Linked DNA regions of Drosophila melanogaster. The protein of the gene in region 2 interacts with the protein of the main gene of each other region in a pairwise test. Each region holds a gene or a part of one and is shown on either strand. Other genes may lie near its edges.

Region 1 (5,906 bases), about 10 Mb from region 2:
ATCATCTTCAGCATGTAGCTGACTATGTGACGGATCATTCCGTAGGATCGCAGCAATCCGGATAGCTTGTAGTACGAGTGACCAGCGGAGCGTTGCGATAGTTCGTCCGCAAAGGACATCAGGGTATCCACGTGGCTGGGCTCGACGCAGCCCTCTTGAGCTTCATCCGCCTGCACTGAGGGATTCCCATTTTCCACCTCAGGGGAGTCGGGTTCCACCTGTGTTTGTGCCTCCTGGGGACAAGGTAACATGAAACCTTCAACATTGCAGGAGCTCTTCAATAGTTACCTGCATCAAGTTGGCAGCTGTTTCATCCTGATCTATATTGATCACATCCACCAGTTCCTGATTGGAGTTCTTTCTGAGGGGCTTTGGAGTGGAAAGCGCTTTTTTCCTGCGACATGGCAAGGTGGCGTCATGGCATAGAACTGTCAAAAGGGCATCCACCACCTCGAAGGGATTGCTAATGCCATTCGGCGTGTGCTGCAGTATGGTGCCTCCGATCCACTGCATCACATCCAGGACATCGCCACGTTTCAGGAGCTGCTTATCACCCATGGCCTCCAGACGTTTTCGCAGCAGAGCCGACTGAGGACAGCTGCACTCGCCGAAGCAGAAAGCCATGCTATGCGATTCCCGGACATTCAAAGCCAGCCACTTGTCCGCCGGAAGCAAGGTGAACAGCATGGCCAATGCGGACTGGAAGGTGCGACGATAGCGAGTGGTGAAGACCACCACTTCATCCGAATTAAGAAGCGTGTGGGGCGTCGTTTCCACAGAGGCTCGGTTCGGATTCGGTTTGAGCAGGAGACCCAGTGGATGAGCATAGACCTGGTGCATGATGTCGCCCACGTGTAGCAGCTGCGAGATTCCCCTGGTGAATGAAAAGTCAGGCGTATGATTAATAGCGGCATTGAATGCCGGTAGTGCATTCACTCACTTGTAGGTGAGCTGCCCCAGTGGACAACCACGTTCTGTGGCCGGCAGCAGTGGAAACCCATGGAACGGCCCCACCTTGTTCCAGTACATGTGATTTGATCCCGAAGCGGAGCTGCTCGAGTTATACAGAAAACTGCGATACCTAAAGCAAAACCACGTATCAATGAATAAATATTTCCGGAAATGTGATAGCCCACCTGTTGACCAAGTTATCTGAGCCACCACTCACGCCGCAGTTGATGCCAGCACTGCGAACGTGGGATATGGGTCCCCGATCCCCGTGCCTGATGACCAGGAGCACGCCCTGAAGCTTCCAACCCTCCAAGATGCCGCCATCATCCAAACGCTGCAGCTGAGCCAACGGAGCACAGCGTTCTCTGTACTTGGCGAATCGCTGGGCAGTGGAAGATGGCGAACTATCGCCGCCCAAGGAACTGACGGTGCCAGACGAACTGGGTCCGAAAACTGAGCCACCGCTTGGAGTCGACTCAACATTGCCCATGTAGCGATACATTCCTAAAAAGGATTATCAAAGGCAAGGATTAGCTATTTGCCTATGAATATAACAAAGCACGTCCTATTCGAGTGTTGACAACCATATTAACTAATTGGGTCAACTTAAGAAATCTTTTCTTAGATTTATATTGAGTATATATTGAATGTTTTCCCACGATTGCCATTAATCCGCTACTTTTCCACTTACCCGCTATAAGAAGGAATATCCAGACGCTGAGCAGCACATAGCAGTAGAAGGCTCTGTGTTGGGTGGCCACTCGCATCAGTTCCTTGAGCAGCCTCATCCTGGCCAGAAAGTCCGGCTCTTAACTGCTGCCCGCTAGCTCCACTGCTGCTCCTCGGCATCAACTCGTTGGGCGGCACTCCTGGAGGGTTTCTGTCGATACGATAGCTCTGATATACTCCTATCCAGTGCTTAAATTTCAGGCTAGAGCTCCGCTGCACGGGGATTGCTTTTTTAATGCTAAGTGTAGAAAAAACAAGGTTCAAGCGTTTACGTGGAGCACGACTAATTGGCAGGGCATGCGCAATGGAGGCCACATCGTTATCAGCTGTTGGCACAGAGGTGGTGGACAAAGGGGGAGTTTGAACAGCCAAGCCTATATTTTTATATATGTATATTAATAAGTAAAAGCCGTGTGGTGTTCAGAATAAGCTTAGCATCAAGCTAGAGTGCACTCTTTAATAACAATCATGGTGTTCCCAATACATATGCGGCTTTGGCTCAATGCGGAATAAATATGCGTAAACTATTGACCGGCTGAAAGGCGGGGCTTCGTTCGCCTTTGCAGCCTGGTTTAAAATATGTTGGATATATAAATATATAGTCTGGCAGATCCGGGATCTTGGTGGTTCTCAGTTATGGGATTAGTTCCACCCTATTGTTGTGCCGCGGTCAAGGCCAAAACGGTGAAGCGCACTTCGTTGGGATCGCGAGCCATGAACTCCTTGCAGACCTTGGCCGCATCCTTCACAAAAGTCTCCTCCGAAGTCGGTCCGTGCTTGATCGGGAAGGACTTGCGGCCATCCAGCTCGTACAGAGTACCCTCCTTGTTCACCAGTGCGATGAAGTGGTGGATCACCTTCTCATGATTGGCGGCATTCGTCTGGCCCTCTTGAGCCAAGGCCTCATGATCGGCGGTGAACTTCTCGTCTTTTTCGAGGGCCCGTCCGCGTTCCTCCGGGGACAAGGAAGCTGTCTTCTCCAGGAAGTCCTTCAGTACTCCGCGGTCAATGTCCACTCTGGGGAAAGATTACATTTTGTGATATATAAAGAGATACGATTATTAACGATCTTATATAGAAAAAACGTCACGAACTCACTCTTTGTTGTTGGCCACGCTGTGGATCAGGGCGACGGTTCCACAGGCGTTGTGGGTGAACTGGCGCATGTAGAAGAGATCCTCGGGATGCTGCTCCTCCACCTCCTTAATCCGATCGTGCTCCTCGGCGCGGTGCTTCTCATACTAAAAATGGAACCTGGTTGGCCAGGATAATAAGATAAGAAGGTCAAGCTAAACCTACGGTTTCGCTGCACGGGAAGAGCAAAATGAACGCCTTTACGGGACGCGGAATCCATTCCAAGGTGTCATCTTCCAATCCAATGACGTCAGTTACCGACCAGGCTGGCGACACGCCCAGTTTATGTATGTACTTGGTCAAAACCTGGAAAAGTGGGAATGGGAAGGTCTTAATGGCGTCTTTTAACTTTATTATCCAAATCCGACATTTTGGAACAAAGAAACAATGAATGTGCAAAAACTGGAAGTGCGGTAGGCAAAACCTTTACAGGTAAAGTCATTACCTCGGGATTAGATTCAAGTGGCGTCCAGGTTAACATATTTTTGAATTTGGCTTTAGCAGTGATCTGATTGAAAATTCACAGGAAAATGAAGGATTTCTACACACAATTACCGGCACTTTTGACGAGCTTTACTTTTTTCTGAATGTGGTGTGTGAACATTGATTTGGTCGAAACATATCGATTATAAGCTTTTCAATTGTGTGTATTAAAGCAATTGATTCATGTAATCGATTAAGATTAAATGAAATAAATGTCGAAATGTCCATTCCCCATTTAAATAGCTATAGTTCTATGCTAACATTGAATATATTCACTTATCGATATTAGAAACCATTAGTGTTGATAAACGCGTTGAACGTATTTCCCAAAGAGGAGGTGTGCATACACTAGCTGAAGTAAACAATATTGTTTACAAAATGACCAAAGCGAATAAAACGCCGCAAAAAGCAAGTGAACCGAATATAAATGGTTCCTTCACACCAGTTCGATGTAAGTTGGCTCCAAAGACAAAAAAGGTTATTATTTCTTTGCATCGTTTCCAGATTTGGACAGCCAGCGCCTGCAATCGCCCACGAGTCACGATGCGAATTTAGCCACCTGCAAAACCAGATTGGAAACAATAGTCAAACAACTCCAGGATAACTACGCTAAATGGCAGCTGGCCCATCAGCGGGGCACCTCTATTTGCTATACTATCGAAGCCAAGAAGACCAAGTGTCTGGAGAAAAGCCAGGATGAAGGCAGCTCCCTTTACCCAGATGATCTCCTACTTCCCTGCAACAAGTTGGCCATCATAGCCTCTATTTTCGGGGATATCGCAAATAATACAAAGGAGATACTAAGACAACTGAGAGGCATATTAAAATTACCGGGATCTGCAGCGGATACGATATTCTACAGGTCCTGGAAGTTGCAGCAATTCGTGGTTTTCGCGAAGGAGCTATCCGAAAGATATGAGAAGGAGGCTCTGGTCAAAATGGAAGTTGCCGGTAGGAATAATAAAGCTCCTCTTTGTCGAAAGCAGCCCCTTTAATACGTTTGAAAATTCAAAGAAGCACAGATTAATTTCTCAAATTCGATTTACCATCTTAAATATAATCATGTTACTTTTCTTATAGGTAACATTGCTCACTCGACTGAAAGAAGCCAGCTCATTGCGCACACAACTTTATGGGAATTTCCCGAGCACGTGGACTCCTATGTCCATCTGGGGTTTCTTCTCCTTGCCGAAGAAGTCAGTTTAAGGCAATAAATTAAACAATTTTTCAACTTAATACAACATATGGTTTCTATCAAATGTTCATGTTGGGCAGTAAAACTTCATTACAGCTTTAGATTAAGCGAATGCTTAAAGAAGTAATAAGTAAATTCTATAAACTTAGGTCCTATGAGAAAATCGGAATGTAACTATTAAATGCATCGTTGTGCGTTTTTTTTAAGTCTGAACGGAGATCCGCTCCAGTCGGGGAGCGCTGCGGAACTTGGTCCACCACCAGAACCAGGCGCACGAAAATCCCACAGCCAAGGTGGTGTAATACAAAATAGTAGCCAGGCTCCACTTCTTCTGCAATGCAAATTTGTATAAAGGAAAATAATTTCTTATTGCTTGCTATATTCACCTTCTTGTGACTCTCGTTGCCCTGCACTTTCTTCTGGCTCCTTGCGTTCTGGGCATTAGCTTCGATTTTCGCGAGATCCTTGGCAATCTCTTCGGTGATCTGATTCACGCTTTTTAGAGTTTCCTGGGCAAAGCAGCTGGCATATCGTTTGTCGCCCACCACGACGTCCTCGGGAGTGGAGACCTGCAGCTTGTAGTTGGTGGCCGCTAAAGAAGCGCGCAGGGACATAAAGTGGTTGCCAGCATTGCCCAGAATCTGATTGTTGTAGTTTTCGGCTTCAGGATGGTTGCAAATGTATTCGTAACTGGGATTCTGGTTGGGAATCTTTTCGAACATCTCCAGGAGCTGTTGCCGTTGCTTTCGACACTTGAACCCGAAGAGTTCCAAATCTTCGTCGGTGAGAGAGGCCAAATCCAGATAGTTAATGTTCTCGGCAATAAGTTTGTCCACACAGGTGCTGGCGTAGTCCGTTTCCACGCTGGTAGAGCACAGTAGACCGTTGAGGATCTCCCTCTCCCGGCGTGTGTCCCTGTGAGCCTTTTGGCGAACCCAAGGACGTCGATTGTAGCCCAGGAAAGCACTGTCCAATTCCTTCTGCTCGGTGTGCGAGTGAAAGTTCTTTGTGGCCTCAAACTGAATGGTCGGCGGAACCTTGGCCATCGCCACCAAGGGGACATCCCCCGCGGACATTGTGTGCGTCTTCGTTGCCATAAACTCTGTCAATAATGGCAATTAAATTACCATTAAAATGCAATTGCGCTTAGATTAGATTCGCTGTTAAGAATCGGACGTTTACGAGCACTGCGAGTAGGGGTGGTCAAGATTCCTAACAGATTATGTTAAAAGTAACAGAAGTAGTAAGGGCTCTGTAAACATTTAAAACGTGAATATTAACAATTTAGTAATTTTATTTCCTTTTTCCTATTTCGCATTCTTGTACGAATCGAATTTTCTTCTAATGAATCACCCTACCCAACCAATTAAGATTAAATGCTTAACATTTGTATTTAAAAAGTATAACAAATTGA
Region 2 (6,659 bases):
CCACGGCCTCCACTCCGCCATTGTAAACACTGAGCTTATTCGGTGCCACCTCTTTCCACAGGAACTGGATGTAGGAGATCACCTAGAGGATTTAACATAATTAGTTTATTACACACTTAACTTCTTGCAATAAACGGCCAACTTACTTGAACTTGACCACAGGTGGCCAATGCCCACCATATGCTCCACTGCAGCACGACGGGATTGGAGTAGGAACTAACGAGGTGGTACCACAGCAGGCGGCATGCGTTGGCAAAGGAGAACTTTGGTGAGGTCTCTTCTCCGTCGGCAATGGTAATCTTCTCGGAACCCGCGTAGAAGTAGAGGCTACGCGGCACACTGGGCAGGAACAGGGACACGGCCAGGGAGATTAGCTGCGTGGCCAGCGAGAGGTAGTGCAGCTGCCGGTAATCCATGCTATCGGTGGACACCAAAATCTGGGCAAACAGGCCGCCGAGGAACTTGCCGCTCAAGATGGCAGCTCGCGTGTGGCCCGTGACTACCTGATACTGCTCCTTGTTGACCTTGGCGTACATGTACGTGTAGTAGGCCACCTCAGCGGCCGTAAAGGTGCCAAAAAACACTTGGGCCACCTGCAGCATTCCCACGGTTTCCGTCCAGATAAGCATGGAGAACAGGGTAATGCCAGCCAGTGCCGATAGCACGATAACCGGTTTGTACCTCACCAGATCTGTGATGAGGAACACAATTACCAGCTGGGCCAGCACCGAGTACGTGCCGAAGGGATACACATCCTGATAGATTTGATCCGTCGTCAGGTTGCCATAATCCGAGGCTAGGTACTCTGTGACGTACGGCTCCGAAGGTCGAAACTCCCGGAAAAAGCCAAACGTGCACAGCAGCAGCGAGATCTTCAGCCAGCTCTTCATGTCGTAAATTGCGATACCAGGTGGGCTGTTCGCATGGAGACTCGAAACTCCAAGCTCCAATCCGGCGCCAGTTGTTTCGCCAATTGATAAGTGTCGTAACCAACGCGACGAACGCCAGCCGGCAACTGATCGCGCGAATCAAGAGCGCCTGGTAGCCCATCGCTCTCCGCCAAAGCGGCTACAGTGGTGGCCAGCAGTATTCACCCACAACAACCGGAAAACCAGAATCAGGTGAATTTTAAGGGGTTCAAAAAAAATCATAAGAAAACAGCAACATTCAATATGACAGGCATATAAAATTATTTCCAACGATTACTACAACTATACAATCAACTATATTATCACAAAAAAATATATATTTAATATACTTAAAAAATAAACTATCAACAAATAGTATTATTTTTAGAAGAAAAACGCTATATAAAATATATTTTACATTCAATATTTCAAAAGTTGTTGGAAAAGATATGCACATATGAACTTATATCCAAAGCACTGCAAATTCGTAAAACAATTAATTTAAGCTACTGTTGGGCCATAAAATTCGTATATTGTTTAATATATTTACACACATACATACAAATGTTTAAATCATGCGCCCAAGTTCAATGACCGTTAACTGTTAATGCTAGGGCCACTAAAAAACATAACTTAATATTGATTTTGGTGTTATTCACAAAATTGAACACTTCATATATTTATGGCCGCTACTGTACGAGTATGACCTCAAAAGACCGTGAAATATACATTTATCTACATTCAATTAATTTGGAGAATTTCTATAATTACAACTTGACAAATTTATAGATTTGGTTACAGATCACGGAGCAGTGAAAGTTGTAAATTTTAAATAAGTTTTATTTCGGTAATTGTCGAGTAAGCAAATTTATCGCACAGCAACAAAAATTAAGATTCTTGGATTGTTCCCCATCAATTTATTGACAATTAAGTGACGCATTAATTGGAAATTTGTTGAAAGCTCAACGTTTGCTCTTGATATTCACAATCGAGAGAATGATACTCTTTGAATTTAGAGGTTAAAAATAGAGCATTCAAGTTATCACCGATAGTTCTGCTATAGCCATCTTATCTTTGTAGTCTAATCTGCAGGCACTAAATATGAATTTCAGAACTGTCTAAACACCAAAGTCGACCCTCTAATCGGTTCTACTTTACATAACTTACATAACTACATACATAACTCCGATTTGAAGGCTGATCGAGTGAACAGATTTTGGAGAGCTAATAACATGGTAATTTGTTTAAACAAATTAAGCAGATTTGCTTTCGGTAATCTTATCGTCACTGTTTTGCGGATTCTTCACAATTAATCTTAAAATAGTTCTAAAGTCAAGGTTCCCCTGAGTTGTTTAATCTACTTCCGTTTGAGGTAATCTTCGTAGAGTTTCAACAACTCTGGAGAAGTCCGCGGAGGCACCGCCTTCAAGGCGTGCTCGAAGTCCGTCCACTTGACATCCTCCGCTTCGAAGCTTTGCTCCAGGGCTCTCAGGGCAGCCTCATGGCATACGGCTTGTATTTCTGCACCGGAATATCCCTCCGTCAGCTGCACCAACTTCTCCATGTCCACATCGTTTGATATCGGCATGGCACGCAGTTTGATCTTTAAGATCTCTCTACGTGCTTCACATTGCGGTAGTCCCACGTAGAGAATTCGATCAATTCGGCCTGGACGAAGCAGTGCCTTGTCGATCATATCTGGACGATTGGTGGCAGCGACTATGGTGACATTTTGCAGTGCCTCCACGCCATCCAGTTCGGTGAGCAGTTGCGTGAGGACGCGCTCTTTTACGGACGAACCAGAGCTGGATCCGTCGCCCTCCGAACGCTCGCCACCGATGGCGTCGATTTCGTCGAAGAAAACTATGGCGGGTGCCACCTGGCGAGCCTTTCGAAAGACCTCACGCACCGCTCGCTCCGATTCGCCCACCCACATGGAAAAGAGCTCTGGTCCCTTGATGGACAGAAAATTAAGCTTGCTCTCGGTGGCCAGGGCCTTGGCAATCATGGTTTTCGAGCAGCCTGGCGGTCCAAACATGAGGATACCCCTGGGTGGCTTGATACCCAGGCGTTGGAACTTATCCGCGTGCAGCAGTGGCCACTCGATGGCCTGCTGCATGGCCAAACGTAGCTCGGATTGACCGCCAATGTCGGACCACTGCACATTGGGACACTCGATGAGAACTTCACGCATCGCCGATGGTTTAATGCGGGTCAAAGCCGCCTGTAGATGCGGCATCTGTAGAGGATTCGGTTGCGCCTGCAGCATGGCAGCGTAAACGAGATTTGCTAAGTCTGCTCCCACGTAGCCATGGGTAATAGATGCAACGTGCTCCACTTCCTCATCGCTCAACTGATGCTCCACTGACTTGATGAGGCATCGTACAATTTCCAGCCTTGCCTGAGAGCTGGGTGCACCCAACTCCACTTCATTGTCCAATCGACCAGCTCGCCGAATGCTCGGATGCAGGGTATCAATCTGAGAACTAGTGGCCAGGACAAATGTTTTGCTTCCCTTTAGCTGGCTGGGAGAGCTTAGCTGATCCAGCAGGGATAAGAATGCCAATGAGACGCGCTTGACAAGATCGCTGTTTTCTTGCTTGGGACACAAGTTGTGCACATCCTCAATCAGCAGCAACGTTGGATGCGGATAGTGATTGTAGGCACGCTCAAATATAGCACCAAGTTTCTGTTCCGTTTCGCCCAGGAATTTGCTGTACACTTCGCCGCTGTTTATGCGTATAAGCTGGACATGTCCTTGGCTACGTTCCTCGGCCACTGCGCACATGGCTTCCAGCACCATGGACTTGCCACAGCCAGTGGCGCCATAGAGAAGCAGTCCGCGGGAAACCCTAAGGCCTAAAATATAATAATCTTAAATAGGTGCAATGTGAGTCTTGGTTTACATTTACCTGCAGGCAACGTTCGGAATCCCAAAGCGTACTCCATACTCTCCTCAACCAGTTGCAATTGCCTATCCAGCCCGCCTATTTGGCATTTGGTGATCCTGTGACTTATTTTTTGCTCCTCCTCCTGCTGATTTGCATCGTCGGTTATCAGGTGGAGCTTGGTTACGTTGGTAACCTGGATGAACTGCAAGGGTTTGGAGTCGAGACTCAGACCAGCTAGAGCCTCTTCCACTGTGCTCTGCCATCGCTCCAGGCGAAAAGTCAGCGATTTGTTAAAGAAATTCATGTGGATCAGACTGTCCTTGTAGAATACCCGATTGACCATGTCTCTTTTGAGAAGGGCAATGGCGTCCTGCAGTTGTACTGACTTCAGGGAGGTCTCTGTGGTGTTTACATGCTTCAGGGAAATGCTGGCAGCCGCAGTGAGGCGACTGGGATGCAAGGCAGAGATCTTGAGTAGCTTTCCTCGAAGTTGTGTGCAATGGAGTTTGAAATCTGGTTAAAAGTATGATAATTAGTGCCGAGAACTGTTTTTATAGTGTAAAACACATACCCCCTTCGCTCACAAATACTGTGGTGAGGAATTGCTCTGATGTGGGCCATACAATCCTAACCAGCGGCTGCTCCGCCGTCGATGGAGCTTCCAGCACCACATGTTGTCCAATGTGTAGCTGTGCCAATTGCATCGCACCCTCGGAGACGAAGACTAGCATATTGGCATACTTGGTGGGCAGATCCTTCAGAGACTCCACCTCGAAATTACGCTGTTGAAGACTTCTCGTATAGATTGCTCCACTGCGAACGTACTCCGCCTCAGAATCGGGACCAACATCATCCTGGCTGATGGCGAAGCATAAGCCCTCGTGGTTATCTCTCGCTTTCGAGGGAATGTGGACGCCGCAGGACTCGCAGTGGTACCAAGTAACCTGGTTTTTCTTGCTGCTTGACTTTGGCGGCATTTCGTTGGCCGGTTGCACGTTTTGTTTTCATTGTGGGTGGAAACGTTCGTTGTGAATGGCAAATTGAGCGCAAGCTCTGGCAGATCTTGATCGAAAATAGCTAGATCTTGGTATAGCTAAACAGATAATAATCGTATGGCGTACGGATTGCTTGTTAATATTAATTTCATTGCGTAATATTTTAAATATTCGATAGTTATAAATAATTAAAATTGATTGTTAAAAATAATAGCTAAGCAAATGCAGTCAGCCTAGCTGACATCACTGACAGTGTTGGTAGGGTCGGTATTTACCCGCTGTCCGCATGCAGCCACTCCAAAGATTCATTGTTGGCTTGTGACTCAGACTTTCTGGTGCGAAAAGCAGGAGCGGATCACACAGCGGATTAGCGATGAACAGCGACGGTGAAGCCTCATCACTGCAGATGCCCCAGGTGACGGTGGGTGGCATGCTGCCGGTAGAAGCCAACCAATCGCCTGAAACCGCTCCGCTTTCGATGGCGGAGACGGTGTCCAACACGGACTTCTACATCGGCGTTGGCCTGGCTATCTCCTCCTGCTTCTTCATCGGTTCCAGCTTCATCATCAAAAAGAAGGCGCTCATTCGGCTGAGCAGGTACGGCGAGGTGCGGGCGTCAGCCGGAGGATTTGGATATCTGAGGGAGTGGATCTGGTGGGCGGGCCTTCTGACAAGTGAGTGAAGAACCAAACAAAGAACACTCGGTTTCCGGAATACCCTTGCAGTGTGAACTCTCTAGTGTGTATATGTTCTATGAGTAATAATAGTAAAGTGAAATTCGAAAACCAAGATACTTAAGTGAGGAAAGCCTTAGAAACACTTTTCCATATGTTTCATATCCAAAAAGGTAATAAAATAACACATATGTACCTGCTATCACAAACTTCCGTTGCTGATATTTTTAATTTAAATCTTTCCAAATATTAGTCAATTACTTATAACGTACAACGCAAACTAGAGCATTAATAAACATATAACGAATAATCTTTAAAACGTAGAGATAACAACTATTTCCATTTATACACATAAACTTGCCTAATCTATAGAATCGAAGATTAGTTGCGAAGCTTCTCCAGAAATTTGAATACCGTCTGCAAGGGTATATTATCAGAAAAACAGAACCCCTTATCACACTGACCTTATGACTCACTTGCTCTGTTTATTTCTTACAGTGGGTGTGGGAGAAGCGGCCAACTTTGCGGCCTACGCCTTTGCCCCCGCTTCATTGGTCACTCCGTTGGGCGCGCTGAGTGTTATCATCTCAGCCGTGATGGCCTCCAGATTCCTCAACGAGAAGCTAAACTTGCTGGGGAAGATCGGCTGCTTTCTGTGCATACTGGGATCCACCATCATTGTGATTCACTCGCCCAAAGAGAAGGAGATCGAGGATTTGCAGCTGCTATTCGATATGCTTTTGGATCCGGTTTTCATTCTGTACGTGATCTGCATCGTCGGTTCCACGGTGTTTGTGGCCTGCTTCATTGCACCACGGCATGGGCACACCAATGTGGTAGTTTATATCTTCTTGTGCTCCGGCATCGGATCTCTGACTGTGATGTCCTGCAAGGCATTGGGCCTAGCCATACGGCAGACGCTGAATAACGGAGGCAACGTCTTCCTCACATGGATGCCATGGTTCCTGATCCTGGTCACCGTCACTTTCATAGCCATCCAGATGAACTATCTGAACAAGGCGCTGGATATATTCAATACTAGTATAGTTACTCCAGTGTACTATGTAATGTTCACCACCCTGGTGATAGCTGCGTCTGCCATCCTCTTCAAGGAGTTCACCCACATGCGGTTCGATGATATTCTCGGCGATGTGTGCGGCTTCCTGATCGTTATCACAGCTGTGTTCCTGC

Evidence for each region.
Region 1: the proteins of CG5776 (region 2) and CG34174 interact in a two-hybrid assay, tested with the Drosophila melanogaster proteins (one large-scale study listed by BioGRID).

The regions. Positions count from the first base shown.
Region 1 is NT_033779.5:2,210,637-2,216,542, forward strand, and holds CG34174 (uncharacterized protein), read left to right. Parts: upstream 1-3,629; 5' UTR 3,630-3,675; coding exon 3,676-3,748; intron 3,749-3,801; coding exon 3,802-4,248; intron 4,249-4,335; exon of another isoform or gene 4,336-4,377; coding exon 4,378-4,511; 3' UTR 4,512-4,531; downstream 4,532-5,906. Other genes in the region: CG15385 (uncharacterized protein), read right to left, coding at 1-233, 289-874, 941-1,081, 1,137-1,455, 1,643-1,739; Uch (ubiquitin carboxy-terminal hydrolase), read right to left, coding at 2,334-2,697, 2,779-2,921, 2,980-3,120, 3,260-3,295; daed (daedalus), read right to left, coding at 4,695-4,823, 4,879-5,589.
Region 2 is NT_033779.5:12,699,625-12,706,283, forward strand, and holds CG5776 (uncharacterized protein), read right to left. Parts: upstream 4,828-6,659; 5' UTR 4,777-4,827; coding exon 4,371-4,776; intron 4,313-4,370; coding exon 3,821-4,312; intron 3,768-3,820; coding exon 2,266-3,767; 3' UTR 1,325-2,265; downstream 1-1,324. Other genes in the region: CG17036 (uncharacterized protein), read right to left, coding at 1-82, 147-890; spict (spichthyin), read left to right, coding at 5,168-5,468, 5,967-6,659.